Linked DNA regions of Drosophila melanogaster. The protein of the gene in region 4 purifies or fractionates together with the protein of the main gene of each other region. This does not show direct contact. Each region holds a gene or a part of one and is shown on either strand. Other genes may lie near its edges.

Region 1 (8,329 bases), on a different chromosome or scaffold from region 4:
ACCAACATAAAACGAGATTGAGATTTCGATTGAGATTAAATTTTCGATGACGCCAAATGGAGCGCTGCAAAGATCAATCAAATGTGGCCAGTTGATGGCGCTGGCTGCGAGACTCACCTGCCCGTAGGCGTACATGTTGTTGTGCGTCTGCGAGGGATTGACCTTGGACAGCAGGAAGCGGGCCTGGGATCCGCCGTGCTCCGTATCGATGTAGCGAGGCATGGGGAAGCGCGTCTGAAGAATCTCTTGCGCGTCGTCCACCGGTGCTTGCAGCAGCTGCTTGAAGTTCTCGTACTCTGGCATGTCCTGGTATTTGAGGGCTCTCCACTGGGCGATGGTCTCGCCGTGGTAAATCAGAATCTGAAAGAACGTGTCCATCAGGAGGATGCGATCCGCCTGGATGGAAGCCGTATCGAGGAGGACCGGTTCTGGAGGGCCGTTGAACGAGTAGCTGTAGAGAATAGGCTGGATCATGATCAGCGATTGGGTGAGGTCCTCGCGCATTAGCATGTGTCGATAGAATGTGGTCTCGTCGGGCGAGTTGTTGAAGACCTGCAGGAACTGCGAGCGGCGCAGGTGGTACATGAATTGCGGGAATAGGCTGAAGTTTTGCGACAGCCTGAAGCTGTTGGGATCGTCCTTTGAGTACTCGCCGAACTTTTGGCACTGTAAAAGGAAAGCATTTACAATACTAATTAATTGGGCACGAGTAATTTTGCACATTGAAAACTTACCAGACGAATCAACTGACGATCGACCCAGCGCAGAATGTCGGGTCCTTCGTCAGTCTCCGCACGATAGACGACCATACGGGCCATCAGAACTGCGGCGGCCTCCTGATCGAAGCCAGCGCTGATGTGGTGCACGTTCGAGGTGGCATCGGCCCAACTGAAAAACAAACAGATTGAACCACGTAAGTAAACTCTGGGCTGATTTATGCCAACACATACTTTCTGGCCAGTGTGGTAACTCGGATTCGCCGCTGTCCACTTGGGTGCTGGTACTGCGTAATGAACTGTATGCAGCCACGCCCGCCCTGCGGAATGGGGGCTGCATGCTGGTTGACCACCTCAAAGAAGTAGGCTACGGTGGAGCTGGGATTCAATGTGCACAGCTTCCACTGCACCGTGTTGCCCATGCCGATCTCCACATCCGACACCGACGGGCTCTTCACATTCAGCGACACACACGAGCCGATGCCACCGGAGATCTTCAACTCGCGCGAGCACTTCACCTCCAGCGTGGCATTGAAGGCCATCTTCAAGTCGTTGCGACCATCACGTGCGAAGACGCGTTGGAATGTCTGCTTGAAGAGCGATGAGTTGAACGAATCGCCCATGACCATGTGGCCGCCAGTGGAGTTGCATAGCTGCTTCATCTCCAGCAGTCCGGTTTGGTCCAGGGCACACGAGTATATGTCGACACTATGCCCGTTGGTGGCTGCCCGCAATGCCAAAGCATCATAGTGTTTGATAGCCTTCTTCATAAACCGCACGTTGTCCTTGTGGATGTCGTGATGCGAACGAATCGGGTGCTTCAGCTCGTCGTCGACCACCTGGCCGGGGCCCTGGGAGCAAGGGCCACCCACGAAGGTCATAATGCGACCGCCCGTATTGGGATAAGTGCACTCCAACAGGCCCACCGCAATAGATAGGGCGGCACCAGTGGAGCGCAGGTAACGCTTGCCCTGCGGCACCGGCCAAGGATCGCGTTGCAACTCGCTAAGCAGATCGCCCAGCGCCGCGTCGCACTGGCCGATCGGTTGCAAGAAGCGATGGGCGGGCGGCACAGGGGCCGCCGCTCCAGCCGGCTGGCCGGGCAGGTGCTGCTGTTGCTGCGGCCCCGGAGCCGCTCCACGCCCAATTCCGAGCATATCCTGCACCTGCTTGGCAGTCAGGTCCTTGGTACCACGAAACACATAGCTCTTAGAGCAGCCTTCCGCGCCCAGCTCGTGCACCTGTATCATTTTTCCGAAGGTTATCAGACCCACGAGAGCGTTGGTTGGCAGCAGACTTAGCGACATTTGCAACGAATCCTTGAGGGCGTCCAGCTCCTCCTCGTCCATGCAGGTGTCAACCAGGAAAATGAAGACGGGCGGCATGGTGGGGGCCCGTGTAATAGTATACTCAATAGTGCTGAATCCCGGAATCAGCTCCGCTGGTTGGTGCTGCTCGGAAATGGCAGCATATTGAGGGGGAAACTGGAATAATGACTGTCATAAACTGCCGCAGAGAGTCTAAAGATCACCATTGAGCTCACCGGATTGCGCTGAAAACAGAAGTTGCACACCCACAACTTAGCACGGTAGTCCACCTGGCACAGTGGATTCAGGATGGCCCTGCAGTTGCTGCGAGTGCACAAGACCGGCTCATATTGAATAGGCGGTAGGTCGGGGCGCTCCTTCAAAGGCTGGTAAAGACAAGCTAGGGGCACCACCAGCCGACTGGCTTCGATGCGACTTGAGGGCCACACATTCCACGTCAGCCGCACTCCGTCGCGGTCCTCGTTCTGCTGGATGAACTCCTCGTAGGTGGTCATCGCCGGAACACTTAAATGTAATACTTAAATCGGAAAAACCTCTGTTAGACCTCTGCCAATTGGAAAAATCGGTCGGTCAGGCCACGTCACGGATTGACAGCGAGTCGTGACACCTTTCGTGCTGGCGACGGCCAAAATACTCACGCGAAAGTAAACAAATTCGCGAGATGAGTCTTTAAGAGGCTCTTCAAATCAAAGCACTCACTCTGGAAACAATTTATACAAACGTACAAAACGTAGAAACCTAGACTACGAACTATTACAGAATTTTAAGTGCAAACGTTGCATGTTAGGGAAGACAGTTTTCAAGCGATACTATCGCATGCGCCCCATGCGATTGAATGAATGTTTTAATATGAGAAAAAAAGGGTGAAAATAAATATGTTTTGAAAATGATAAATAAAACAAGGTTCGCCCATAATTTTTTCAGTTAATTTTCTTAATGATATATATTGTTATTCAAGAAGTATATATAATATAAATAAATATAAATCGTATTCCTAGAAAAGCCCCTTATCGTTTTTCTTATCGCCCCAACTAAATTTTAACATTAAGTTTTTACCCAACACCCCATGTATCGATTGCTATCGATGGCCAAACTATCGCACCGTGGAGTGCATCCCTGGTGCAGCTGTTTACTCGGCATTGTGTGTGTGTGCGTGTATTTTTTAGAGTTGAGTTGTTTCTAAGATGGCGACGAAAAAAACGCGTCTTCTTATGTGAAAAATGCAATCATAACAACTCGAGTTTTCTGCTAATAAATGTGCGCTAGTTTGGAACAGGACCATTGAAAAACAGTGCTAAGCGTGTGCCGAGTGTTTTGCATGTGAAAGTTTTGGTGCGGTAGCGTAGTGAAAATGGCCACAAATATGTATCGAGTCGGAGGTGAGAAAAATTTTCGCGTACTCGCTTTTCTATCATCTTTCGTTATCGGCGCCGCCGTTTCACGGTGTGCGTGTTCGCTTCTGCATATGTGTGTGTGTGTCCAATGTGTGCGTATGCGTGTGTGTTGTGTCTGAGGAGGCTTTCCAACAATAACGAAAGTGCATTTTAATTGCCGAAAACCCTTTAGTGGGAGACCCGACGCACGTGTATGTGTGTGTGTGTGCGTGTATTATCAATCTCAAGAACAATCCGTCGAAAAGGAGAGACCTTTTCTATTTTTTTTAACTTCTTTGAAGGAGCCCCCTGCTGCTCTTGTGTCGCAGCTGCAGCAAGTGTTTTCGACGTGTTCCAACCGATAAGCATTAACTTATGCCCTAAGTGTATGCGTGTGTGTGTATTCTAGGGCTGGGGAACTGAATTGCATTTGCATTTGGATTTGGTTTTGCCGAATTGTGATCTCTCCAGCGTGTGTGTTTGTTTGACTATGTGCGAAAGTGTATCTCACTTTTGGGCTCACCGCCCACCCGCCTTTTTGTGTTTTCATATGCTAATGAGCTTTTGAGCATCTCCCCCCATCTCACGCCTCCCACTCCTCACCCTGCCTGACGCACTTTCTGTTAGCCATCTCGCTCGCGCTCGAGCGGTGACGTTATTGTGTTGTCTTCACCTGATTTTCGCAAGTGTGTGGGTGTGTGTGCTCTTTCGAAATGCAAATAAGCTCGGTCGGATACGCAAGCTTTCAATTAACGGAATCAAAATAAATATTAATGGCATATATACTTGTCGAATTATCTGCTCTTTATCGCCGAGAACTTTTTGTCTCCATCGGCGTTTTTTGTTAGCCGTTTTTAATGGCCACGCACACAGTTACACACCTTCGGCAATGCTTTCTCGCTGCCTCCACACTTTCTTTTTCATCTCTCTTCATCTATCTACCCATCTATCTGTGTATCTGCATCCCAAAATGTAGCAGAAGTGCACACGACGTTTGTATCTATGTATGTATGTACATACAGATAAACGGAATTTCTTTTATTTTTTATAATAGTCAACGACAGGTTCCGCTGCAGTTGTTGTAGGTATAAAGTTATATGGATGGATAGACCCATATGTATTTAATTGCGCTTTAGCTGGTAGTGGTGGTCGCACTTAGGTGGATGCGTGTATAGGTGTATGTGTGCGCTTACCTGTGACGTATTAATGGAGTTGCAGCCCCCCACCCTTCCATGCCCTTTTCTGACCCTTTTGCATCAGCCACCTCAAAAACTGTTTTTTTTTCAGACTATGTTTACGTTGAGACAACGCCGAACAGTCCCTACTTAATACGACGCATCGAGGAGCTGAACAAAAACCAAACCGGCAATGTGGAAGCGAAGGTCATGTGCTTCTACCGCCGCCGGGATCTGCCCAATCCGCTCGTGCAATTGGCCGACAAACACCAACGTGAGTAGAGAAACCCTGTTCCCTCGAAACCGCATCCATATCTTGCGTTACGTTACCTCTAAGTGTGTATATTTATTGTCAACAAAGTGAGGTTATGTTGCCAAGAGTCGTTGTCGTGGCCTTCAAACAAGTTAAGAGTTAAAACCTGACGACCAGATCTGCTAAGCACATGCCCACCACAAAACAACAACAAAATGAACCCGTAAGGGGCACCACTGTGTGCGCTGTGTCAAGGCATGTGGAAAGCGAAGCCACCCACCGAACCACCCAACCTCCCACAGTGCCACCCCATCCCGCAATCCTAGTCAAACTTCCTGAGCAACAAGAACCGCAATGACAACAACTGTGAGGGCGGAGCGAAAACGGATTTCGTCCAGCATCCGACTCATCCACATAAACAGGCAGTGGAACCTTCAAACAACCTGCCACATCAACTGGCAGTGTAACCACTCTACTTCGAACCAGAAGCACCATTGATCTACGTTCCAGTAGCGCAATTTGAATTATTCGTGTCGCAAATTAGAAAAAGCATTTAGCAAATAGTCTAAAAAGATATTGGTCATAGAAACTAGGTGTTTTGGGAACTGGTAATGAACATAAACACGCATCGTGGTGCGGAAATAGCCTGTAAATTATTAAGTTCAACCTTAGGCATACATATGTACATACGTTAAGGTGCCACCGGTTTGCTCTAATGATGCTCGACTGTAATGAGCTGGGCTGCACTATACTACCCGTAATGCGGTTGTTGCTGTTTTCGGTTGCTGCTAGGCGGCGCCGACGTCAATGTGAATGTGATACTTGGTTCGGCTGTAGGTAGACTACAGTAGTAGTCTGTCTACCTCTGAAAAGCTGCCACACATACCCATGCCCAACCCAACCCCAAACCCACTGACACTGCTGCTCTGTGTGCACGAAAATGTTCAAGTCAGAAGTTGGGATCTGGAGGGGATTGGAATGGAGCAGTGGAGTGGAGTGAAGCTATGGCGATGTGGCACACGCAGGAAGGCGCGCTTTGCATTTGTGTATACATACACACAGCGCCTTCATCCACTTCCTCTTCGCCGTTCCAAAAAACTCACAAAAACCATGCCCAATTGGGTTGAATTTTTGGCTTTGGCCACCCACTCGAATTCGATACGTGACCGTCGCGAAAATGCGTTTTCCGTGGGTCTGACCTGGCAGAGCAACCCACCCCAATCCACCACCCCATTCTACCTCCTACACTCCCACAAGACCAACAATGCCCATTAACACAGCCCCTTTCGGCCCCAACATCATCGGACCACTGTCATCTTGCTTTATTTTTAATATAAGTTATCCATTACGCTCCACGATCCAGTTTTTATTTGCGTGCGTCGCCTTTTCGCAGGCCACTCGCTAATCAGGCGCAGAAAACTAGCGTAAAAATATACATTTGAGGCACAAGTGTGCCGCCATTCCAACCCCAAGCTACGGACTTGATGCAAGTATCTTTGAAAGGTGGTTTTCCGAACTCCAGAAACACTTCAAAACCTTTAAAATAAAATGATTACTATATTTTATACTTCTGTTTTACTTTCTGTTAGTTTCTGTTCTGTTTGCCACTAGGAAAATGGTATTTTGTTAAGCTTAGAATGAAATATCTAAGTACTAGCCAGTACTTACGATCATTAGCATAACATTATATTTACTATTTTAATTATTGTTAAATGTGATAGTACATAGCTCACAGCCTAAAATAACCACTCTCAGCGGCTAATCACATTGTCAATAGCAGACCTTGAAGTTTGCCGGGAATTGGAAAGGGTATAGAAAGCAGATACGCTCGAATGGCAAACAAATCCCGCAGCGGCGCACCCACCCACTTGTGTGTCCTATCTATGGCCACCAAATAACGCCCAAGCCTTTACCCCTCCACCCACCACCCACCGCCATCCACCATCCTCCGCCCCTTTTTGATTGCTCTCGCTTCGTCTTCGAAACAAGCGCAAAATACAAATACACAAATACACGTACCCAGCTTCGGCTCTTTTCTGGGACTCAGGCCATGCACCCACGCCCGTGTGTCCGCCGAGGAGGTGTGGTGGTGCTGTCCACCGCCCACCTCACCTTCCTCCCCTTCCGCCCTTTGCGAAATGCCAAGCGTATATTTTTTAATCAGCCCAGCGAACTTCCAGGAAATTCATGAGGGTTACTTTCGGATTTCACAAAACACAAATTCCGGGAAAGCTGAGATGTATATTATATAGATAACGTTTAGATTCAAGTAGCGTCACTTTATTAAAATAGGGACATACATACATGTATGACCTTTCTTTGAATTCGCTTAAACATTTTCAATTGTATTGCTTGTATAAAAAAAAAATAATATTATTGATAATATATTTGAAGTATAGGAAAGTTGGACAAATTGTAAAACAACCAGGAATTTACTTTTTGCTTGAAGGGTTCTTTGCTCATCTTTTAAATTTGTGTATCCTAGGGAGTTGTTTGGTCTTTTGGTACATTAGTGCGATTTCATATCATTTATGCTTGGTGAGTCCTTATCGAGAAGGAATATATATGGTCGTCATATATTTGTTTGTTCGTATTACCATCCTGCATCCTTAGTTCCTTTGCCTATGACAACGACTCTTAAAAGATTATTTCTCACCTGTCTTCGCATTCAGGTGTCTCTTTCAAACTTATTAACTAAAATGCTTTAACTTATAAACATGATCTCTGTCGATGAACGCATTTCCCCAAAACGCACCAAATCATACTCCTAACCATCTTAAATCTAAAATAACGCATCGCATCAGTGGCCACCGCCGAGGACTCACCGTTGGCGACCAAGCTGAAGAAGACCTGGCTCCGCACACCCGTAAGCGAGGAGCAGGCGGCGCAGGCTGTGCTCGATCCCTCAATAGGTACCACCTCCAGATGATTACTCAAATACTATCTCTGCCACTTCCGTAGACCCGTAGACCCAGACTCAGACTTATGCCCTCATTTTGTATGTTTTGCACTTTATGTAGAGCACGATGGTAATTTCAGTAGTGTAGTAACCTATCTAAGTTGATAATCTTTATGCATAGTTCTATTCTGGTTAATGGGATCATAATTTATTTTTAAATTCAATATACCTGATATGGAACACCTGATTTGTATTATTATATTTATTATATTTATATTTATTATATTTAAATTTTATTTCATTTTACTTTAAAAGTTAACTCTAGCTTAAATAATCAGTCACCATCTTAAAATTCCGAACCGAATGAAAGAATCTAATGATTTGGCTTATTCTTTTAGCTGCCCTGGATGAGGAGCGCACCAGTCCAACGCAAACGTCTGGCGGAGGAGGCTCAGCCACCGGGAACTCCGGCAGCAACAGCAGCGGCACTTCCAACAACAACAGCAGCAGCACTGCCATCGGAGGTGGAGCGGGAGGCTCCGGAGGTGCAGGAGGCGACGCGGAGAAGGGCGAAGCGTTGACCAG
Region 2 (8,502 bases), about 15 Mb from region 4:
TGACTACTTTTTATTCGTTTGGATTCTCCTTATTGCACCTCCCACGCTGTGTTATCCCCTTCATCCACCACCCGCTCCCCTTTTCGATTGACTCTATGCCTTTGTGGTCGTCCGTATCATGTAAAACGCTTTGTGTGCAAAATAGGAAATTTGAAGAAGAACAACAACAGCGAGCGAACTGCGAGCAAAATAGAGAAATGAAAAGATCTCAACAAGTTTGCCGTTAGTCGAGCTAAGCAGATTTACTTGTTTGAGAGCATTTTGCGATTGCCATTTTGCAATGATTTAGCAGGGGGTCAAAGACGAGGGGGCACTAAAATGGAGGGCGAAGGGAATGGGGCTTAGGAGCGGACAGCGGCCAAACAGCATAATTGCCCAGTTGCACTCAAATGGATCTCCATTGAAAACCCCCACTCACCAATTAAGGGTTAAAGAGCAACAGACTCCAGAAGAAGCGGCCATAAATCTGTACAGTGATAAACGGCTATGATTTTCAACGGCCAACATAAAGGTCACAATCAGATAAGATTTGTGATTCGGATACGTACACACACATATTTATATTAAGGTGTTTAAATGAGCTCACCAAATTCGAGTATCAATACACCTTAATTAATCTTAAAGAATCAAATCGAGTTCTGACGAAGTAACGCTCTCAGGACTGGAATTTCTCTGCACTTCCTGAAATTAAGTTTCCTGTTTCGTTTTTAGTTACCTTTAAGCGATAGCCACTGTACACAAAAAATGTGAAGCAAAGACAAACTATTTGCGGTCTTTATCAGCGGCTGGCCACAAAAAGTAAAAGGAGAAAAAAGGAAAGACAACTGAGGGAAAAAGGAAAGAAGTAGCAAAAACAGAAAACAGACGGCAGCAATGTTAATTGAAGGGGTTTAAATTTTTGGAGTGAGGGTGAAACTTTACTGCAACAGATAAGCTACAAATGTACAAAAAAAAAGAAACGAACAAATAAAAAAAATAATAAAAACAAATTTTGTGGCTTGAACTTCAAAGCACATGGAGCGATTTAGAGTAGAAGGGAAGAGGAGGGGTTAATAAACAAGCCACCAAAAGGTAAATAAATAAGCACAAAATGCCGAAAATAGCGCACAAGGGATAAACCAGATGGAAAGAGCGAGAGGAAGAGAGAGAGAAGGAGCAGCTGCTGCGCCGACGCCTGCTGCTCTTGAGCTTCTTCTTTCCATCTCCCTTCCCCAACCCCATTCACTCGTCATCCAATGGCTCTCCACAAATTGGAAGCAATTACAATAGCAGCAACAACAAATGCTCTTTGACTTTTTACAGCAGCCGGAGCAATAACTAAATACGGTAGACCGTCGATAAAGTGAACCAAACACAATTTAGTGGTTGCAAATAAATTTTTAGAACCAAATTATCATAAAGCTTGAAATGTTTTTTTTTTTTCAAATTTACTCCAATTGGGTATTTTTTTAAGCGCAAAGAAGCCTGAAGAAATGGTTAGTATGTGTCGAAATATAACAAACAACAAGTCTTAAGATTCCTTAAGTTAAGCTTTATTCCATTTCTTCATTATTTTTTCATCTTTCGACTTTTCACTGTACACATTATCAGCCACAGAAGCATAAATAGAAATGCAGCGGGAGAGCAAATCTAGCACTCTTTTTTTTAGTTTTTGTGTTTACTTATTTGCGTTCATTGGCTTCTCTTCCTAACGGCACTTCGGGCCAAGGAGGTGCGAATGAAAAGGAGCTATAATCCGGTTTTATATCGCACTTACCTTTTTTAATTAGAATAAATCAAAACTTTGCTGCGGATTCCGATTCTCTTTATTTGCTATCAAAAGCAAAGCGGACTTTACAGTTACGCCTGTTAAAGTTGTTGTTTTTACTGCACGGTCTGCGGGCCAAATAAAAACAACAAATACTATATTTTTGCTGTTTACTTTACGCCGAACTTCGACGCTAATTGGAAAAAGAGATGCGGGAAGGAGAGAGAGCAATGAAAACTATAATTAAACGCCAGCAAAAAAAGGTCTTAAATATCCTGCGGGCACAGCAACAACAACAGAGAAAAATACAGGAGGAAAACCAAGAGAAAGAAGGGGAGAAGTTAACATAAAGTAACAGAAAGTTGCGAAGGAGAGGCGTTGGTCTCCGAGGGGGAAAGGCATAGGAAAAGACTCTTAAGGGAAAAAGAGAAAAGTCGGAAAGAGAAAAGCTGCGCAGGATATTTTAGCCGCCTATGAAAAATGTTAATTTTGTTTTAAATGTTCACTGCGGGTTTCATATGTTTTTTCTTGCATTATTGGCCACTTCGCTTTGTCACTTTACTTCGGTTTTAATTTTTCCACTTCTTCATTCGCCCAGTGAGTGTGTGCGTGCGAGGGAGATGGAGCGAGAGAGCGTGTTTGTGTTTCCACTGCAACTCCATTCTTCTTTCTCTTTTTTCACACACACACACAGGGCACACACGCACACTTGCACATGGGGGAGTTGGAAACTTACGCGTCGCCGTTTTATTAATTTTATTCAATTAACAATCGCCTCTAATTCAGCAACTCCAAAACACTACAAAATCTCGTTGTACTTGAGCACTATTGTTTGTCGATAAGAAGCCGCCGAAAAACGCCGACCGAGGAGGAAAATCACCCGCGCTGGAAAATCGCGTCCGAGTCGTTCAACGGTGAATTTTAGAGTGAGAAGGAAAATCGTGGGAAACTGCGGTGGATTTTAGAGCGAGATGGGTGATGCTCTGAAAGAGAGAGAGGGAATGCACCCTCTGGCGATGGGCCAAGTTCGATATTAGCATGGATTCCTATCGATTAATCGACTTAACATTATTTACCCCGGACTACAACCTATTACTTCTGTGTTTTTGTTTTTCTTAAATTATAATGAATCATTTATATTTGTATAGAAAATATTGAAATCAATTAGTTTATTCGAATGCTTAAACTTAAATGTTTTCCAACAACATCTCTAGTTCCAGCTTCAGACTCTGCAACGTGATCTTAGCCAATAAACTTTGCTTTATAAACTTATAATTGATCCTTGCTATTTTTCCAAAAAATATGTCGTGATATTTGATAATTTTTGATAAGTACATAGGTCTGATTGTTTATATATCTAATAAAAAATGACCACTCTGTATGAAGAGGGTAATCGTATTTCATATGTAAATTTATTAAATATATTTCTTTAATAAATAATTAAATATATTTGTTTGGTATTTTCGGTATTCATGCAGTTAGTATTAAAAGTATATTCTGCAGAGCCGGGAAGTGTGGATTTAAAAAAGTCCGCGGTCACACTGCCCATCTGCAGAGGTTTCCTCTTCGCGAATTTGTCTTGTGCGCTCCGATTTTGGCTATATAGTTGCGCCAAAGTGCCAAAAATCGGACCGGCACCAAAGTAAACCATCTTCTGAGCTCGCAAGTTCATCCGATCGACGAAGGATAGAAAAACATCGACTTTAAGGGGATTTAAGACCCGCCAACAGCACCGCAAAATGCAGTCTCACAGCAAAAAGCGCGTTTGTTACTACTACGACAGTAAGTTTTGAGCATTTAAATGGAAGTAAAAGGCCTACTAGATGGGTAATTTGTGTTTACAAAGTGCCAGCTAGGGTTACCATGTCGACTTTGTGTTTTTTCCGCATCCACTTAGCATCAGATGATAGCATTTTTGCAAATTTCAAGTTTTACGGCGACTGTACGAGCGCGTTCCGGTCCACAGCGCACTTTTTCCATACGACCGCAGTGCGTTTGTATGCGTTTGTGTGTGTATGTACCTGATGTCTATCTTCCTCTTCTGTGTGTTTTTGTTGCTTTTTCGTTCGGGGCGAAAGTGCTACTACTGCGGTCGTTCGGAAAAAGTGCTGCTCTCAGGCAGACGCCTCGCCGACAGTGGCCTTAAAATTTGTATTCCACATAGCGTGGCAAATAATTACTTTTTCAACGTGCTCATAATTGCGATTTTTGATCCATAGGCGACATTGGCAACTACTACTATGGCCAGGGTCATCCCATGAAGCCCCATCGCATACGCATGACCCACAACCTGCTGCTCAACTATGGGCTCTATCGAAAAATGGAAATATACGTGAGTTACTTTATTAATATGTGATGATAGATATATATATATATATGATAGATTTAAACGCGAATTTCTCTATTCTAGCGTCCCCATAAAGCCACTGCCGATGAGATGACCAAGTTCCACTCGGACGAGTACGTCCGGTTCTTGCGATCCATTCGGCCGGACAACATGTCGGAGTACAACAAGCAGATGCAGCGTTTCAATGTCGGCGAAGATTGTCCCGTCTTCGATGGACTATACGAGTTTTGCCAACTCTCCGCCGGAGGATCCGTAGCTGCGGCCGTAAAACTGAATAAGCAAGCCTCGGAGATCTGCATCAATTGGGGCGGTGGGCTGCATCACGCCAAAAAATCGGAAGCCTCGGGCTTCTGCTACGTCAACGACATTGTTCTGGGAATTCTGGAACTGCTTAAATACCATCAGCGTGTTCTCTACATAGATATAGACGTCCATCACGGCGATGGCGTGGAGGAGGCGTTCTATACCACCGATCGTGTGATGACTGTCAGCTTCCACAAGTACGGAGAGTATTTCCCGGGCACTGGCGATCTGCGAGACATTGGCGCCGGCAAGGGAAAGTACTATGCGGTGAATATACCCCTGCGTGATGGCATGGATGATGATGCGTACGAGAGCATATTTGTGCCCATTATCAGCAAGGTGATGGAAACATTCCAGCCGGCAGCCGTGGTGTTGCAGTGTGGCGCCGATTCGCTGACTGGCGATCGGTTAGGCTGCTTCAATCTCACCGTCAAGGGTCACGGCAAGTGCGTGGAGTTCGTGAAGAAATATAACCTGCCATTCCTGATGGTCGGCGGTGGTGGTTATACCATTCGTAATGTATCCCGCTGCTGGACCTATGAGACCTCCGTTGCACTGGCCGTGGAGATAGCCAACGAACTGCCCTACAACGATTACTTCGAGTACTTTGGGCCCGATTTTAAGCTGCACATTAGTCCCAGCAATATGACGAATCAGAATACATCCGAGTACCTGGAGAAGATCAAGAACCGTCTGTTCGAGAACCTGCGCATGCTGCCTCACGCTCCGGGCGTTCAAATCCAAGCGATTCCCGAGGATGCCATCAACGATGAGTCCGACGACGAGGACAAGGTCGACAAGGATGATCGCCTGCCGCAGAGCGACAAGGACAAGCGCATTGTGCCCGAGAACGAGTACTCCGATTCGGAGGATGAGGGCGAAGGCGGTCGCAGGGATAACCGTTCGTACAAGGGTCAGCGGAAGCGGCCGCGTCTCGACAAGGACACCAACAGCAACAAGGCATCCTCAGAGACGTCCAGCGAGATCAAGGACGAAAAGGAAAAGGGTGAGTGATTAACCATTAGTCATTTTAATTGGTTCTACTGACCACTTGTAATTTGTATTTAAACCCTACTAACTAAACCATTATGCTGTTTTCAGGCGACGGAGCTGATGGCGAGGAATCGACGGCGTCTAATACCAATAGCAACAACAACAGTAACAACAAGAGCGATAATGATGCCGGAGCGACAGCTAATGCCGGATCCGGTTCGGGATCAGGTTCCGGTGCCGGGGCCAAGGGCGCCAAGGAGAACAACATTTGACGTGGCGGCCGCAATTGGTTATAGAAGCCAATTAAGCGACCGCCGAAGTACAAGCCACCGGATTTCACCTAGTGTCGTCTCATTCCCGCGCCCCCCTTCACCAACACGCCCCGTAGCCATGTCCAGGGCTTTTTCTACACGCCCCTACACAAGGTCCCACTGCGATCGGCTCCTTTTTTTCAGTGGGAATATTCCCAAAGGGGGATAAATCAGTAATCAGTGGGCGGAAACACAATTTATTTTAAGATCGAAAGTGTATAGCTAAGCAAAAAGTGAATGCATACTTACAAGCGATCCAATGTGGCGAATAACGCAGAAACTAATTTAATCAAATAAAAATATTTATACATTTATTGATTTTAATTTTAATGGAAAATTAATTGAGCTGCTATCTTTTAAATATTTTCTTTTGGAAGTATTCGATTTCCCATTTTTAGCAAAATACTTACGTTTCCACATTTAGGTTTCTTAGTAACAAACTAAACGATAATTTGTAACAATTTATTTGTATTTTAACTAGGACTAGCTAACAATTTTTAAGATTTTAACTTTGAGTTTCTAAGTTGAGGAGATTGTGGCATTTGGGGGGGAGAAAAGGATCCACTGGGGGTTTTCCCGCCCACCAGTTGACAGTTTGTGACTAGTCGGCGAGGTTTTCCACGGATTGCAGTGGGCGGAGAACTGGAAACTGGCTGCGGTGCTAATCCAGCGATAATATCGAGTCGATGCTGGTGCGATTACTGCGCGGCTGCAGACGCGGTCCACCCAAGTAACTAATTGGATTCGCGAACTGGCGCTGCAGCAGTGAGTTTTCCAGGAAAAGCGTCGGCGGCGGGGGTGGGCGCGTCACTTTCGAGTGATGCTGTCGCATCGGCACCAATGGGGATTTTCCTCCCGGCTCCTCCGGATTTTTCACCCGACTCGCTGGCAGAGAGGACCCATTGGCATTTGTGGCTACATCAAAGGACTGCTGCTGCTGCTGCTGCTGCTGCTGCTGCTTTGGAGCCTCTGTGTCATCGGTCGCTTTGTGGCGGGATTTGTGTTCCTGCGGCTGCCGCTGCTGCGCTTTCTGGGGGAGATTGGGCATGAAAATGGCATCAGGAGGTTGGATGGGATGCTGGATTTGGTGTGTGGCGTGTCCGGAAAAAACGGTGGGCGGTGGCGGTGGCGGCGGGGTGGGAATTCAGGAATTTAGATCAAATATTTTTCAGGGTTTAATTCTATTTGGCTTTAGTCAAAGTGACGTTCAATGGACATGGACGATAGTGTAGGGGTTCATGTTTGCGTGTGTCCAGAGAAGAGATAAAGTTTTATAATTATTTAAAGGCTTTGAAAGATAGACAGAGTGGATAGCGAGGGGGGGGGATGACGGTTATTCAAGCTGCATTTTCAGCTGGCAAAAGTTTATTTCAGTTTTTTTTTGTCTTTTACGAGATTTTGGCAACTGTCGTGATTTGGCACTTTGTGTTGTTAATAAATGCACTAAACTGACATGAAGGTGTGCACATAGAACATCTAAGGGACTATATGATTTATGATTTTATTTTTTATTTCGACTTGATATGCAAAATAAGAGGCAAAGATGCGTTCGTACACAATTAATTAGTATAAATCACGAAATAAAAGTTGCTTTAATGTAAGAGTAGAGTTATAAAGCACATTTATAGAGGTAACTTCTTTAATCAAGCTGTCTATTAAGCAACTAAAAATGTATTTTAATAATCATTTGAATATTCCCTTTTCTCTAAGTGCACGCCTTGTGTGTGCATCTCCTGTATTGCATTCCGTATGGCGGAAACCGTCGAAAATCCATTTTGCTGCCCCATAAGCCCGACCCCAAGGCTCCGGCCAACAAAAGGCGCCACGTCAGGAGCCCGAATGGTGTCTTGGTAACACGAAACCCGCCAGTCACTTCACGGGACTTTCTATGGCAGCCCCCCCTATTTTCCTATTCTCAAGGGGCGTGGCATCGCCAGCATCAGCCGAAAATCGACAACAAGGCAGACGGCCAACGCGTTTCAGTCAAGTGCAAATGTGTTGGCCATGTCAATGCATCGCTGTCGCCTCCCAGTGAAGGAAGTTAGCAAAAAAGGTTGCAGATAGGATTGCTAAATATCCTAGCCAGAAATTAATGAGTAATTCAAACGAATATATCAATTAAAATACAAACTAAAAGAGATGAAATCAAAAAATAAAATAAAAATCAGTATAGCAAACAAAAGGAATTTTGTGACACTGAGTTGATTACAAAACTATTCAACTCTCTGCCATGGGGTATGGAAAAAAGCATTTAAAATTTTATTTTAGCTTTAGCTTTTCATACTTTTCCATTTCACATTTGCATGGGACGCATTTCAGTTTCATTTTCCAGCAGTTTTATTGTTCTTGGCCGAAGGTTACTCGAGGCACTGGAGGCAGTGGCAGCATTGCAAACAATAAGCAAAACTTGCACTTTCATCCATCGCACTGACACTGACACACTTCCTTAGCCCCTCGATCTGCCACGCCCCCTTTCGGGGCTCCTTTGGCAGTCGTATTAACATTGTTGTTTCACCACATTTTTCATTGCATACTTCGCGGCGCGTGCATTTCGAATATGTTTGTGTTACGAACTTTGCCAAGTCATCGCACAAAGGTGGAAAATTCCAATTTATTACCTGCCGCATGCGGAAAATTTTTGCTATTTTATGAGCTATTTTACAAAATATTTGTTTTATTACTAAACACTACTTTTGAATAGCGGGGAAATGCCAAGCATAAAAACAATTGATATTTAATATAAGAAATTAATTCGAGAGCGACAAATTTTATCATTGAAAAATGTGATATTTATTTCCAAT
Region 3 (7,881 bases), 9.2 Mb from region 4:
ATCAAGCCGGGTAGCATCAATAGTGTCAACAGGACCGCCGCCCAAATGGCCGCCTTTGTGGGCAACCACGCCTGCGTGGAGACCATCAACAACTATGTGACCCAGTCGAGTTTGGAGTACTACACCCAAGTGCATGGCCAGCAGACGGAGCCGCATATACCACCCAGCTTACTCAAATCGTTCCACGCCTTTGTCACCGAAATCAACCTGCATCCCGTGAGGATTGCCCTGAATGTGCAGTCCTTGGGATTGCTTAGGATCCTGTCCAGTCTGCGCAAGACGCTGGCTTTGATGTGCGAAAAGGAGATGCAGAAGTCGCATGACCTCAACGAGCTGCTGGCCTTCAAGTTCCATTATCAGGGCTGGATTTTGGCCGAACTAATACGCTGCGAGGAGCAATTCAAGGCGCAGCACAAGGAGAAAAGTGGCGAGGAGGCGGGCGATGCGAACAAGAACGATTTCATCGAGATGTTTGTGAAGCGGGTGCTCAAGGAGAACAAGCTGGGCCAGCTGGACTATGTGGAATACACGTTGCGCGAATGTGCCAGGGAGTTTCCCGTGAGAGAGTGCACCATCTTCCGGCAAATCGCAACGCAATTTGGCGCCAAGGATGCCCCACCAGCACTGACTGTCCTGCGAAATGCCATCAATGGGATGAGGTGGATTACGGTGGGTATCATGATCTCATAATCAAATGATTCTTTTCTAATCTGGAAAACTAATTTTCAGGACGAGGGCAACTACTGCAGCACCTGCGGCGCCGAGAAACCGGACAAGAAGTGCTCCAAGTGCAAGGCGGTGCAGTATTGCGATCGCGAATGCCAGCGGCTGCATTGGTTCATGCACAAGAAGAACTGTGCCCGCCTCCTGGCCCAATCCCAAGCCCAAGCCCAAGCCCAGCCGCAATCGCAAGCGAAGGGAGCCATTGACACGGCCGAGCTGCGCGAGGAACTGTCCAAACTGACTGCGTAATCCTGTGCTCCTTTGTAACGCCAATAAATGTAACATAAAACCAGAAACCTAGCATTTTCGCGTACTAAAAGATTGTTAGTACCAAACTGTCAGATGTCTACACAAATTAAACTAGATAATAGTAACGAAAGGCAAAATTGCACGCTACAAATTCAATTAAAGTCAAAACATACAACAAACTGCCCAAAAATCGTATATCTATCGTAAAATAATAAAGAGTAATAATGGAACAAAAAAAAAATAGAAAAATAACTCCTTTTGAAGGTTATTAAAATTATGGTTATTTTACGTTTTAAATCGAACATTTCAAAAATGAAGTTTTTAAAATAGCAGTATTTCGAACACAAAACTAACAGCATTCATTTTCGAATGTTAAGTTAACAGCACTAGCGGCATTCGCCTGAGTGTCTGTTATCGATTTCGAAAATTCGAAAACGAACAGCTGATGCCAGTTGAATTTTTCTTGTTTAATCTATTTGTTGCTCGTTGCTCGTGAAAACCCGTTTAAAACAGTCCAAAATGGTGCAGGTTTGGTATATGGATACGGAGGAAACCGATCAGCGCCTGGAGCACCACCGCAATCCGCCTGCCTACTTGGAACTGGATGATCTGTACCAGAAGACCGGCGTGGAATACTTTAAGGCAAGTGAAAAGCGAAATTGCGACTTTAAAAACCTTAAGTGACCTTGGGGGCGAGCTTATCTTGATCATTCACATTTGCAGATCAATGCGGACGAGTACCAGAGCGATAATACCCTCACGGAACTGAGGGCAAAACGTGGCTACACCTACGATGATGAGGCAAGATCGATGTTTTCTTGAAAAACATCTACCGAACTTTGGTAAACTTCGAATTATTACAGATCACATGCTCGGAAAAGTGCCTTCCAGACTATGCCAACAAGTTGAAAGCCTTTTTCACCGAACACCTGCACACGGATGAGGAAATTCGCCTGATATTGGAGGGATCCGGTTACTTTGATGTTCGCGAGTAAGTTTTGTTTATTTACACCGCATTTTATAGTATCCCAGCCACATTTTCCCAATTAAATAGTTCAAGCATTCATATTCTTACTGATATTGTTTTTGCTCACACTAATAACATTTTTGGAATTGTTTTAAAACGGAAAACTATTTATTCTTTATAGCAATGAGGACAACTGGTTGCGCATTAAGGTTGTCAAGGGAGATCTGATCATTATACCAGCTGGCATATATCACCGCTTTACTTTGGATACCAATGTAAGTTATTTTGACAATCTTATATACAAACTTAAACTATTTGTATTGTTTTTTCTTAGAACTTTATCAGAACTCGTCGCTATTTTGTGGGCGAACCTGTCTGGGCTCCACACAATCGTCCTGCTGATGAAATGGACTGTCGCAAATCGTACATCAAGCATCAGTCGGAAAACTTTGTGCAATTCAATAAGGTTTAAAAACCTTAAATCTTATCTTTTACCATCAAGTTTGATATTTTGAAATATAAAATCGCTGTGTATAATCAATAGTTTCAATAGTTTTTTGTTTAACTTACAATTTTCGCTGATTAACGTAGTTTTGATATAGAATTCGAAGTCTATTTTCTATATCAATAAACCCCGCCAAAAACTTGATTTCGAATTTTATCTCTTAGTTGGTTGCTGCATATGCTAAACGTACTTTCGAACTCGAATCTCAGAGAGTACAATTCGCGGTATGACCGTACCAGCGCCGAAGAGAAAAAACAGCGCAAGTATATAATCCCAAGCGCCAGCGAAAGTATCGAGCCAACATCGATGCGCGTGCCATCGCTAGGAAGGAAAACAAAACAAACACTTTTTTACTTTTTCATCTCTCGGATCGTTCGGACGTGCTACGCGGTCTCGTCTGTGTGTGTGAGGTAGTGTGCGTGAGCGGAGCGGCGAAAAAGCACAATTGAAATTAAATCGAGTCGTTATCTGTGGATTCGGCGGATACAATACAATATCGTATCGTTATCTATTTACAAACAAATCGACGTGGATTAATAAAATGCCGCACACGAATGCTTAAAGCGGCCTATCTGTGTGTGTGTACGTGTGTGTCTATGTCTTTGTGTGTTTCACTCTCTCTTTGAAATAGTAAACAAATTGCGTATAAAGTTTACAGCAAAGTAAAAGACAAACAAAAATATTTATATAAAACAAAGTATATTCTGCAGTGCGTGTAAAATATTTCGAAAAGTAGCCGCAAAAAGGCAGCGGCGTCGACGTCAGCAGAGCGCGGGCTGCAAGTGTGTTGGTGAGGCGTATATACATACATACCAACGCATAAGTGCATATATAAGGTGGTACATAAGCAGTGTAATTAATTAAGTGAAATCCAAATAGTTTTGTGCATGCGAAATTGGAAAAATCGAGAGGAGTTCCGCAGCAGCAGCGCAGCGGCAGAGGCGCCACCGACTAACGGATTTTCACACGCGGGTAAGTTTTCTTGTTTTTTTCCCCCGTTTTCTTGCCCCAAAACAGTGCTAAAATTTTCATTACGCCAAAGAGGAAAAATTCAATATGTATATGTATGCTCCATCTCCAATCGCTCTCTCTCGTTCGCCCCGCTCTCTCTCTCACTGCCACTATCCAATTTAACCTCAACCGGTCTGCTGCTGCGGCGTCTCGTATGCATGTCGCCCATCTGTGCGCCTCCTTGTGTGCGTGTGGTTGTGTGTTTGAACAATCGAGGTCAATGCAATAGTGGCAATTAAGAAAAGTCATAAAACCCAAAAGTTGGTTGTTAAAACTGTCTTACAAAACAAACTATAAAATGTACAATAGCTTAATGATTGGCACTAGAATTAAATACTTATATGTATTGTTATCAAAACAATGAAAGTAATATGAATTACTACTAAACGCCAAACACTTCAATAGTTTTTTAAGGTAATATTTAACACACATTTTTAATTTGAATTTATTAATTTTCTCAATGTTTACGCTCTGATCTTACTGCTATGGTTTCGCCCTCGACTGTATGCATCTGCATAAGTGCCGTTGTGTGTGTTGGTGTTTCTGTTTGTGTGCGCTTGTCATTCGGCTCGTTAAAAATGCTCTGCCGACGTCGCAGTTGGCGTTGGCGGCTTCTTCTTTAACTCTCGCGCATTATTTCGCAAAGCTCCAAAGCCTGCTGCTTCTTCTTCTGCCCCCCCCCTCCTGTTATTGTTGTTGCTGCTGCTAGCCAGCCTGCCTTTCTTTCTTCTATATTGACAATTTTTACAGCTTTTATCTGTTGTTGTTGGGACGCCATGCTTAGGAGCTTGTCTCAGCTGCTACTTTTTTTCCTGTGTCGCTCGACTGGGTTGCCGCGGTTTTTCCTTTTTGTATTCGGAAGGGGTTGTCGCCGCTGTTCGTTTTTCTTTCCGTTCCCGTTATCTATACACACATTTCTCGCTTATGAATGAGATTTGTTGGCGGTCTTTTATGTTAACTGTGTTAATGAACTTTTTCCCATTCGTTTTGTATTTGATTCTGTTTTACATATTTATACTTGCTAATTACCCGCACGCACTTTTTGAGCTTTGCAACACTTGTTAATTTCTCGAAAATTACCCCCCGCACACATACACTCATGCAGAAATGCACTTGTTTCGCAAACTCTCTCTCCCATTCGGTTCTCTCATTTTTGGGGTTCCCCCCTCTCTCTTTCTCAACCATCCCGCAGCGCACGCATTTTTCGGCAATGTTGCATGCTCCAAAATACAAATACACAGCCATACAAAAAACCACCTTGCTGGCTGTCTCGCTCCCACACACAAACACACTCGCATACAGACGCACGCACTAAAACCCGGTTCGTCGTTAGTTTTAAACTTATTTTGGCATTCTTTATGTGCACTGCATTCTCGACGTCTCGTCGAGTCTCCCCATCCTCCTCTGCCACCGCTTTGCACTTCTCTTCGCCTTTCCTCCTCTCTCCGCTCCTTTGCTCTCTGCTTTTGGTCTCGATTTTACGACCCAGACCCGCATTTCTAGTAGTTTTTGTTGTTCTTGCTTGTTGCAATAGTTTAGTTGGTGTTGCTGTAATTGCAATTGTTGTTGTTTTGGTTTCTCTGTGGGTGGGGGAGGGGTGGCTATATCTGAACTAGTTCACAGCGGATCAGGTGAAATCCGAAAGTTAAGAGGAGTTAAAAGTTCGCTGAACCTATTTCCAAACTATTAAACCATCGGTAATTCAATTTGTAATAAGATTTATTTCAAGAAAATGAGTTTTTAGCTATGCGAATTCTTATCTTTGCCAAGTATTATCGTAAAATCAATGATTGATAAGAATTTTGAACTTCTATAAATTTCAATGAGGCAAAATCAAATAGAATGCAAATAATAAGTCTTACACATTTGTAGAACAAAATAAAATATACATATCTATAAAATGCGAATGTAATTAATTGATAATTAGTAGCTCCAACCAATTAGCCATGGAAAAAGTGAATCGAAAGAGTTAAAATATATCTGGTAGGTTGGGAACTAGAATGCCCGGTTTCTAGATTTATCGCTGTAGATTTTAGCGTTACCTTTGTTTGTTGCCGTGTCAGCTCCACACAGGTACCACTCACCCGCGCACACACACACACACACGCGTGTCGATTTACCTGAGTTTGCAGGTGAGTTTGCCAGTGTCTGTGTTTGTGTGTGTGAGTTTAGGGGAGCTTGCTCGATAGCCGAAATTCTCTTTTCGTCTTTTCGTGCGTTTTTGTTTGTGCAAGTGGAGCAACAAAAGTCGACGGCTTTGCAGTATCGCTGCGCTCTTCCTCTTCCTCGTTTCTCCTTCCCCTTTTCACTTCATTTCCCTCTCCCCACCCCCCCTGGCACTTGTTATCGATATCTGAAATTTTCATCTAATTTCGCTTAAAGAGGTCAAAAGTTCAGGAAGTACTTCTTATGCTTAAGAGCACACACAAAAAGGGAGCTAATGATAAATATAAAATATTATACCAAAACGGTATAACTTTAACATGGTTTCTTTTCAATGTACATCATTGTAAAGTTATGATAGTTAGGATAGGTTAGTTTGTGGCAAATGCTAGAATAGCATAAAGTTAACTATTTGTTTAAGTCCCACATAAATTTAAGAACTGCCCGTTTTCTAATCGATTTCTTCTGGTTGTTCCATGCTCATGGAAACTTTTGATTCAAGCCAGTCCCATTTCAAAGTTGTTACCACCCAATGCTTATAGATAGGCTTCTGTAAAAGTTGCAATTTTTAGATGACAACTGCAATTGGTTGGCGATTGGGCATGTTTCGGGTGTAATATCTGTTTTTTGGGCTCAATCTGCCGAATGCATTGCAAGTGGAGCTGTGTTTCTGGCTATTCCATTCCTGCATTCCGGGGAAGCAAACATATTGCAGTTGTTTTCTATTTCGTTTGCTGCACAAGTAACACAGCCCACCGCCACACCCCCCTGTCGCCACTCATGCAATGCTCTATGTACAGCTTGCAACAACAAGGCATCGCAAGCCGAAATGCAGTTTAAAGCGCAACTAAAACTAAACAGAGCTTTCCACTCCAAGTGGGTGTCTCTAAAAGTGGGCGGTGGGTGGTGGGCGGTAGGTGATGGGGAGTATTTTCGGTGCTATATACATACATACGTACACATCTGAACTGTATGTGTGTTTGGTTTGGTTTGGTTTTCCATGTATGGAGAGTGTTGAGTGTGGAGTATAGTGGATTTTATATCAAAAGTACAGTCGCTTATTGCTGCTGTTGTTGTATTTCATAGTTCGTAGGTATATACATACATATACGCACATACAGAGGTACATAAATTGCATGTTCATGCCTCAATAGTTGCATGCAGCGTCCGCAGCATTGTTGTTTTTGTTTGGATGGGCAGAGGGTGGGCAAGGGCTCGAGGGTGATTGCTGCCAGGGCGGCGAAGGGGTTGGGGTTTCTGCAGTACCTAAGCCAAAGCCGATGCACCAAACTAAACTCTCTGTTGACAAGTAAAACAAAAGCCCAGCTGCAACAGCAACAGCAACAACAAACACCGAGAACAATGAATCAAAGTTCGCAAGCGATTCAAGAGCGATTGTGATGGCGATTACGATAACAGCTAAAGCCAGGGAAGATTCGGTCACCTATCGATGCCAAGAACATCATACTCTTTGTCTTTCTAAGTAAACTCAAAGATATTGCTACTAAAATGTACAAATGTGCTATGTACAAAGAATTTATGCCTTTGCCAATAACTTAAACAATAAATCATGGAATTCTTGTAAATACTTTAGCAATAAGTCTAAGAATTTTAATAAAAATCCCCCAGCGGAGTGAAAAGGTCAGATGGTGGGCGAGTCAAAGGAATTCGTTTATTTGGATTTTCCATACTTTCAACCTTAGCCCAACCTTTGGCAAAACCGAATTTTCCACACCTCCCACTTATTTTCGGGGAGTTGTTTTCCTGTCTCTTCGGTTGTGTTTTTTACTTCACTTATACATATATTCTTTATGGTATCCCCTTTCTGCTTTCTTGTTGGGGCTGAGTGGGTGGTTTTAACTTTGGCGCTGCTGCTGCTGAAAAAATCGATTATTCGCGACCAAGAAGGCCGAGCGCAACTTAAATTTAAAGCACGCTGTGTTATTAACTAGTGGTATTTCTCTTTTTTTTTTAACAACTTTATTTAAGATCTAATTGGTGGAAAACCGAAAAGTCATTGAAAACGCTGCACCAACTTTGTTCACCAAAGTATTATTGATTTAATATGCAGGAAGTTTGTCATAAAAATGTCACGTAAATAGTGCACGCTGAAGTAAAAAAAGAGAAAATTAAAAGTAAAATTAACTTATTGATTTTGTAATGAGTTCTGTTTTTCTGGCGTTTCAAGGGGGTTTCCCTGTTTTTTTTCAGCCGCCGGGTGGGGGATTTTCGTAAGCTTCCGCTTATATATAAAACTTTTTCG
Region 4 (7,875 bases):
AAGGTTTTCATTCAAATACGATAACCCACGAAACGATACAGAATCGGTATAAAATATCGAAATATACAAAAATACCAGATTTGTATTTTAATCGAAAACTTAAAAGTCTTTAGACCACATGTGAACTCAGTTTGTTTATTTTTATATTCAATCAAAAGATATAATATAAATATGCTAGCGGTGAACCAGACGAAGAACACCCTACTCGATGGAGCCTCCATTGAGGAAGAGCCGTACACAACTCCGCAGGAAAGCGAGGATTTCTTTGAGAGTCTAGACAAACCGTCGAGGGAGCCAACACAACTGGCACCCAGAAACACCTGTTAGAAGTGCACATCCTTATTTGTATTTCAATTTCTCATACCTCTTGTGACTTACAGTCATCCGCGCCGGTGTGTTGACCACAGTGAGAGGTTCCGCCTACATGGAGTATGGTAACACCAAGGTTCTGGCCATTGTGGCCCCGCCAAAGGAGCTAATCCGCGCCAGCGCACGCAGAATGAACATGGGTGTTCTGAATTGCTATGTGAATTTTGCGGCCTTCAGCACAGGGGATCTAGATTCGGTGCCGGAACGGGAACGCCACCTGAGCAGCATGCTGACCAAGGCCATGGAGCCGGTGGTGTGCCGCACGGAGTTCCTTAACTTTCAGCTGGACATACGGGTGCTTATTCTCGACGATGACGGCTGCCTGCTCAGCACTGCCATCAATTGCTGCGGAGTCGCTTTGGTGGAGTGCGGCATTTCCACTTACGACTTAATTACGGCCTCCACAGCTTGTATCTATCGGGATCACGTCTTCCTGAATCCCAGTGCCAAGGTTGAGGAGCTGCTCTGGAAGCATCGCAACAGCAGCACCGATAGCACAACCAGCCCATCATCCGCCCAGGAGCACGGCCTGATCATTACCGCCAGCATGGATACCTTTGAACAGATCGCCCAGTGCCAGCAGTGCGGATATCTCAGTCCAGCCACCTATGTAAAGCTGCTGGATTACACCCTGGCCATTAACAAGTCCCTGAGAGAACTAGTCAAAGGCGTGCTCACGAAGCGGGTGAAGGAGCAGCACGAACTAGATCTACGCGAGAAAGCCGAGACCGCTCTAGAAGATCAGCGTTTGGAGGAAATAATCGAGAAGCTAAAGAAGCAAGGACCAGAGGAGTTTATACAATCGAACATCCGGGAGGATCCCTATGTAAAGAGGCAGTAGTTGGTTGAGAATAAATCATACTAATATAAATCCCAGATCTATTTGAACAACAACCACCACTTAAAAAATGATTACTACAAATATTTAGAGTCCAGATAAAACTTTTATTCGTTATTTTTGCACTTCCAAAGTTCCGAATAGCTTCGAAAATAATAACATCAAATGCGTAGCGCGCTTCAAAACTTTAATTCAGACTTGTATCTTTCCGAAAGTGAATTTGTAGAACTGTAGTGTATCTAGCAATTCTTAAAATGCCTTTTATCTACTGCTGATCCGTGGAGGCCTCAAGCACGGCTCCGGAGTAGGCCAGATCCCAGTAGTGTTCGACCTGGTGCTTCTGAAAAAACTCACGGGCCATTTTTTCCATTGGAAAGATCTTAAACTTGATCTCGCCAAAGTGCCGTCGCTGACTAGTCCCCTCCCAGACGAGTACGCATGAGTTCGGCACGTCCTGGCCGTCATTGCCCTTGGCGTTGTCCTCCTCCCACTTAATGCGCGTTAGCATGAGCCTGCGATACTTTTTCTGCTGCTTGGGCCCACCCTCCACGACAACCACACAGCAATCCCGGAACAACACCACGCTGCCGGTCATCTGCAGCTGCTTGGCATTGGTCTCCACCTTGAATTTCTTGCTCTGGTTGTCCTGCAGATCTCGTATGCGATAGACGCTGACATGTACACCGCAGCTGGTGTCTTCCCTCAGCTTGCGCTGCTTCTTTTCGCTCTTCTGCTCGCTGGTCAGCTTGCGCGCATTGTTGGCATCTTCGTGCGCCTTCTGCCGCTTGGCCATCTGGTCGCGCACATGCTGCTCCATTTTGGTCGGATCTTGTACGGCCTCCGAGCCAAGCACACGCATCAGGTTGGATATGCGCAGTTTCGGCTCTGGTGGGGCCACCAAACCCAGTCGGATCTTCTCCTGCTCCTCCTTCCAGGCCTCGCGACGGTTCTGGCGACGAAGCTTTTTGCGCTCTTTCTTTGTGAGGAAAACCGGCAGATACACTGGTTTCAAGGGCTCATCTGAAGGAGTAGGTGGTTAGTTGCTTGTGGGACATGTTCTAGCTTTCAACTTACTTGGCGGCTTCATTTGTGTGGGATGCTCTATAAGGTTGGTTATGGCTGTTTGGCGTATGCTTATCTTACCGCTTGCGTCGTCTACCGTCTCCAGATCCTGGGTCAGTATAACTGAGTCCCACCACTCCATGGCAGGCACATCGTCCGGCATGTCCTGCTTGGGGGCAATCAATGCCAGTTTGGTGGCCGACGAGATGCCCGTTTTCCGGGCTATTTGCGAAATCTCATTCTGTAGTCGCTCCAGCTGGCTTTTCATGCGCATTCGTTCGGCCAGCTGCTGGAACTTTCCGGGCTCGTGGAATCTCAACGTCCTCTTGGTTCTAACAGTGGGCTTCAGGGCTATGCGGTCGTCAAAGTACTTAATAGCTTCTTCCTGGGCCGAAGTGCCCGATTCACTCCGTTCACCCAAACCCGTTTGGCGTTGGAACACCTCCCGTTTCTTGGCGCGTATGTTGGCTTTCAATGTAGGTGTCACCGTGGGAATATTAATGGTACGTCCGCTCTTGTCCACAGTGCGTCCTTCATCGTCCAGAATCAGGGGTTTGGGTCGCTCCTGCGCTTGAGCAGCAGCTGCAGCGGCGGCCGCTACCGCAGTGGGCTGAATCAAACTAGCCAAATTGCCAGTAAGCTTGGCCCTGATCTGTGCCTGCAACTCGGCAATCTTCCTGGCCTTCTCCGAGTCCTCGGGCGTGGGCTTCTTCGCCAGCGCTTGAGTGGCTAAGGCAACTGGCATTCCGATCGATGGAACTGACGCCAGCAGCGGATCCTTGTCTCTTAGATTACTCAGGGCCCGCTTGCGTTCCTCGATCTCCCGCTGGGCATGGGCCATCATCAGCTTGATCTGCGTGGAACTCAGCGAGGCGGGCACGGCGACCTCTTCTTTCTTCTCACCACCGCCGCCATTCTTTTCCGGGACATCGAAGCGGGATTTCTTGGGCGCTTCAAGGGCGCTTCCACCACCACTTTTGGAATCTGAGGCGGCAGCGCGCTTTTTGGACAATTTCTGGTCGTCGCCATCCTTGCGCGTGATAATGGACGACATAATTCGCAATTAAATGGGTCGGACTAAAAAGTAAATGTTATTTACCAACTGCTTGGCACATTCCTTGAGCTTAAATCAGCGATTTGCAATTCAAAAACAATACACAAGGTTTTTGGTCTTTGGTGAAAAATTCTCCGAAACACGTTAGGACAGGGTCGTTAAAAAAACATAAAAGTCAGGGTTGTCATGTCGCCAGTGTGACCGTTTCGCTTTCTTTTATCGGGGTGCAACCCTAGTTCTCTCACTTTTTGTCGCTCTCCGCTCCGCCATATTTGTTGAAGCCGCTTACAATTGACTATTTTTTTCTCGTCGTGTCTGTGTGTGCTTAATTATTTGTTGTGGAAATTAAGACAATTTCGTGTGCTCAAACAGTGTAAAAGTTGCATTCGAGTGCTACAATGGCATCGGAGGAAGAGAATGACGATAATTTCCAGGGTAAGTGCATTGTTTCAGTCGGCCAAATGTCGGCGTGAAAAAAACTCGGTCCGACCGTCGCTCGGTCAGGCTAAGAACCGTGGTCATGTTCAAGAGCCGCAAAGCCGCGCAGCGTGCTGCGTCCCCCTCCCATTGTTTATTGTTGCCTATTATCCTAATTGGTCATTGTCATTGCTGTACCTCGTTATAAACTATTTGTATTACAGCAATTGGTGAAATTTGTACATGTGTGGCGCGTTTTTTTGGGGTCTTTTGCGCCTCCTCCATTCCACACATATTTTTTATTGCATTTTTGTGTTCCCTCCATTCGCGAATGCAGGCAATATATAGACGTCCTGCTCACTCATCAAAACATATGTTTTACATGGTTGTTTTGGTCGAAAGTTTTGAGTGGAATACTCTGTAAATCCTTTAAAATTAAGTTTTATCTTAAGTTCTTTAGCAATTAAGATGTTTACTTTACCTGTGAATTGTCAAGTGTCAATTGTAATATACGGAAAATTCATTTTAGTTCACACTTATTGTGGTGTTACCGTATATGCAGTGTTATCATCGGCTGTGCAATGGTATCACCAGAAAAATAGTGTGCCCCTTTTGGAGCTAGTCGAGAATGCCCAGACGGCCTCATCTGCCACCATTTACATTCATTGTTGCTTGGACGTGGCAGCCATGACGTGATTTCTGAGTTTTTGTTAAAGAGATTACATTATTAATTGTAGAGAAAACTGTTAATTAAGGGGAATACGTGCATTACTCGCCACCGCCTACCGATTGCCAGTGTAAAGCCACAAATCCAGTGCGTAATATATCCAACTGAAGGAAAAGCGAAAAAAGAATGATGAAAAGTGTGTGCAAAAAATAAAAACCTGAAATTACCACAAAATATGCATATATATATTATAAATTGTGTAAGAAAGCAATGCAAAAAGAAAACGAAGCAATATGTGCATATATCTAAAGAAACGAAACAAAGATGCGTGGAATATTGTGGAAAATCTTGTCGCACTTCCACTGACGCACATACATATGTGATTTTTTCCACTCCCCCTTCGCCGACGTGCTCTCTTGATTGATTTCTCCACTCTCTCGCGTACTTGCGTCTCTGTGTGTGTGCGTGTTATGCACGCGCGCTCCAGCCAAACGTCGCCGTCGCCCCGTCTCTGTCGCTCCAACGTATATGATAAAAAAAAACTCACAGAAACCCGACGCGTTTAAATTAAATTTAGTTAAAAACAACAACAAAAATATAGCTACCAATGCAATCCTACCGAAGTGCCTGCAAAACAACTAAAGTATAGTCTTTTTAACGAGTTAATCAAAATATGCCAACACACAAGTAAGATGAAGAAGGAGAAAAGTAGAGTGTGGAAAAGAGACGATGCCAAGGGATGGGATGGGAAGGTGCCCGTCTCGCGAGGAAATTGCTGGAATGTAGTAGTAGTTCATAGGAAAACTGATAAACAATATGCCGCCGCTGTGTAACAAAAAGCAGCAGTATCCATAGCCACCCCAATTTTGCATACAATTTATGTTAATTCGTTCGCAGCTGTTCCTCTTCTGTCTACAGGCCTCTTCTCTCTTCTGTCCCTGCCCTCATTCGCCTCTCTTCTGCTTCTCCGTTCGACGCTGTTGCACTGTGGGCGTGTGTATGTATATGTATACGGTGTGCGTGCGTGAGGAAGTTATCCTAGAGAAATAGCGTGGGAGTAGAATTCAATGTCTAATTTTAACACGTTCCCCTCCCCGTCCTTCGGTGCTCATTCTAATTGGATTCGCTGCCGTTATCCTTCGATACATCGATAGGAGGATGCTTAATTCGCTCTGTCTTTTCCCTCACGTTTGTGACGTCAGCCAACGTTGGTTCTTCCCCATTTTTCTTCTTCCTAATTTCACCATTTGCCGGTTCTGTGATAATTTTTATGATTTGCTGCGCTATGCTGTCTTTAAAATTGTTTACTTTAACATTGCCATCCGATTTCCGATTACTCTACCACAAGTAAACAATCAAGAGTAATGCGACATCGCATAAATTACAAAAGGCTAAAACGATGCACATGTATGAGTGCCACTATTTATGCAGTAATGCAACAATAAAAGGGTGTGAGAGGGATAAGAAGGTTTCGGCAATGACGTATGCATTTTTCCTACGTACACAGCAAGAAATACGCAATGGCATTTGACACCGTTTCAATGTTTCATGCAATTAAAGCACATATCGATCAAATGTATTAATAATAATGACATTCATTACCGCAACTTTGTATCTTCAAAAGATCCAAATAATTTGATTTTTTCGTTGTTAATCTGAGCATTCTTGTCATTTTTTTATCAAAAGCTTCGCTGTTGCCGACTGCATAAATCTGCTTAAAACCCCATGTCTAACAACAACAACATGGCGCCAGCACAAATAAAATCAAAAATTCAATACAAGAAGTGAAAGTATACTGTGTGTGTATGTGAGCTGCAGTTACTGGTGTATTGGTGACGATCTTACCTTGCTTTGGCGAAACACAACTTGCCATCCCGCTCGCACGCACTGCATTCAATCAAGTCAACAACAAGTGGTGCTTTTTTATATCCGCCATGTATATACATATACATATCTTTATAAATATATATGCTTGTATAATTGGTAAATGGTATGTGTGTGCTGGCATTTCGAAAAAGTTTACTTGCGCTTAAAGTCCACAAAACTATGAAACATAAATAGGAAAAGTAAATATTATTTTAGCTTTCAAATACGTTCATTTTTATTCAAAAAACGCTCTCTCAAGTAGAACAACACTAGGTCGCTTCGATAATGGTTTTTGTTGTTCTTCTTGATTTTGACATTTGACGCGCATCGTTCGAGTCCGCTCTATGTGCCTTTCTCTCTTTCCAAGCGGTTTGATATGAGCGTGTGTGTCGCTCTTCCGAAGCGAAGGTGTTGTTGTTTTCGGCTGGAGTGAATACAGAGACGCACACATAAATACTCACAAAATCGGCAGCGTTTGACATTGATTACCGTAATACCTTTGGTTGGTCTGTCAGTCTGTGTGCCTTTTTAATATTTGTGCAACTGCTGGTTGTCTTGTTATTTCACCTATTTACAGTAATTGTCTTGTTGTCGCTGGGAGAGAAGGCCGCTATTTGTTTCAGATTATTCCTACGCCAATGCACACACATTACTCTCGCACACTGTCACAAAAATTCAGGCAGCAATTGATATGGTACATTTGTTGCCGTTTTTTCTTTTTTGGAAGTCACCGCCACCGCAAACGTATACACATGTACCGGATTGTGTACGGGTTCATTTATTTTTAAAGCATTCAATGTAGTATTATGGGAATGTGAAAATTAATCGAAGCTTATCACCTGTTGTACTGATCAATTTTATCTATCTTTCCGTTTCGCGTGTGTGGGAGTGTATTAGAGATGGTTTTAGGGTTGTCAAACTATTGAAAATTAATCGATTGTTACCATTCCAGTTACATTTTAAATGAAATCTCTGGACATTCTTCGAAAATTGTTTGTTTTTGACTGGCCCAATTTAAATGTGTTTATCTAAGCTCAATTACAGATGGGCATATTTGTATGTAGCAAATAGGCAATGTGTTAATGATTGTGATCACAGATCACCTTGCATACCTGTAGTCCCTCTGCAATTAAATGCTTTTTTAGCATATGAGGTGAAAGTGAAGGTCATTAATATTTGCATATGGAAATGTTTACGCAGCGAAAATGCCGAAACATAAATGGTCATATGGCAAATGCTGTTTCGTTTCGTTTCGTCGTAAAATTCGCTTGCCATCGGACGCCATTGTGGTTTCCGTTTCTGCTTCTCTCTTGCGCTCTCTATTTTCCTCTTATTCTTGTTGTGTTTCTGAAAAAAAAAAACAAGCAGAATTGTTTTTGCTGTTTTTAATAGCCTTAACTTAATTGGTTCAATAGTTTTGTAATTGTTATCGGGCTCCGTTTGCGGCCCACAGCAAAACCAAATTTGTGCTCGATTGTCACCGAATATAGGTTTATGTATGTTTTCTGGGTGTGTAAACAGACAAACAAATAAAACAATGGCACGCGAATCTATGTGTGCCATTTGCCAAAACATGCGTAATTGTGTCAGCAAATTTGTGTC

What was found.
Region 1: the proteins of Mi-2 (region 4) and MTA1-like fractionate together in Drosophila melanogaster (co-fractionation; 3 studies listed by BioGRID, with this or other methods). This does not show direct contact.
Region 2: the proteins of Mi-2 (region 4) and HDAC1 purify together in Drosophila melanogaster (affinity purification with western blotting; 5 studies listed by BioGRID, with this or other methods). This does not show direct contact.
Region 3: the proteins of Mi-2 (region 4) and simj purify together in Drosophila melanogaster (affinity purification with western blotting; 5 studies listed by BioGRID, with this or other methods). This does not show direct contact.

The regions. Positions count from the first base shown.
Region 1 is NT_033777.3:5,643,591-5,651,919, reverse strand, and holds the start of MTA1-like (metastasis associated 1-like), read left to right. Parts: upstream 1-3,181; 5' UTR 3,182-3,395; coding exon 3,396-3,423; intron 3,424-4,009; exon of another isoform or gene 4,010-4,649; coding exon of another isoform or gene 4,650-4,704; coding exon 4,705-4,866; intron 4,867-7,649; coding exon 7,650-7,757; intron 7,758-8,142; coding exon 8,143-8,329. Other genes in the region: Sec23 (secretory 23), read right to left, coding at 118-666, 735-888, 951-2,200, 2,260-2,538.
Region 2 is NT_037436.4:4,623,454-4,631,955, forward strand, and holds HDAC1 (histone deacetylase 1), read left to right. Parts: upstream 1-3,280; 5' UTR 3,281-3,486; coding exon 3,487-3,529; intron 3,530-3,966; coding exon 3,967-4,079; intron 4,080-4,157; coding exon 4,158-5,403; intron 5,404-5,498; coding exon 5,499-5,662; 3' UTR 5,663-6,014; downstream 6,015-8,502. Other genes in the region: axo (axotactin), read right to left, coding at 6,363-6,779. UniProt on the Drosophila melanogaster protein: Catalyzes the deacetylation of lysine residues on the N-terminal part of the core histones (H2A, H2B, H3 and H4).
Region 3 is NT_037436.4:10,661,955-10,669,835, forward strand, and holds the start of simj (simjang), read left to right. Parts: upstream 1-2,784; 5' UTR 2,785-3,416; intron 3,417-7,881. Other genes in the region: CG8003 (uncharacterized protein), read left to right, coding at 1-669, 730-972; Adi1 (acireductone dioxygenase 1), read left to right, coding at 1,492-1,614, 1,696-1,773, 1,836-1,963, 2,121-2,214, 2,274-2,411.
Region 4 is NT_037436.4:19,905,926-19,913,800, reverse strand, and holds the start of Mi-2 (Mi-2), read left to right. Parts: upstream 1-3,585; 5' UTR 3,586-3,721; coding exon 3,722-3,758; exon of another isoform or gene 3,759-4,167; intron 4,168-4,221; exon of another isoform or gene 4,222-4,603; intron 4,604-7,875. Other genes in the region: Mtr3, read left to right, coding at 172-322, 381-1,210; Prp3 (precursor RNA processing 3), read right to left, coding at 1,473-2,227, 2,282-3,323. UniProt on the Drosophila melanogaster protein: ATP-dependent chromatin-remodeling factor which acts in nucleosome-remodeling by catalyzing ATP-dependent nucleosome mobilization. Involved in regulating transcription. Plays a vital role in development.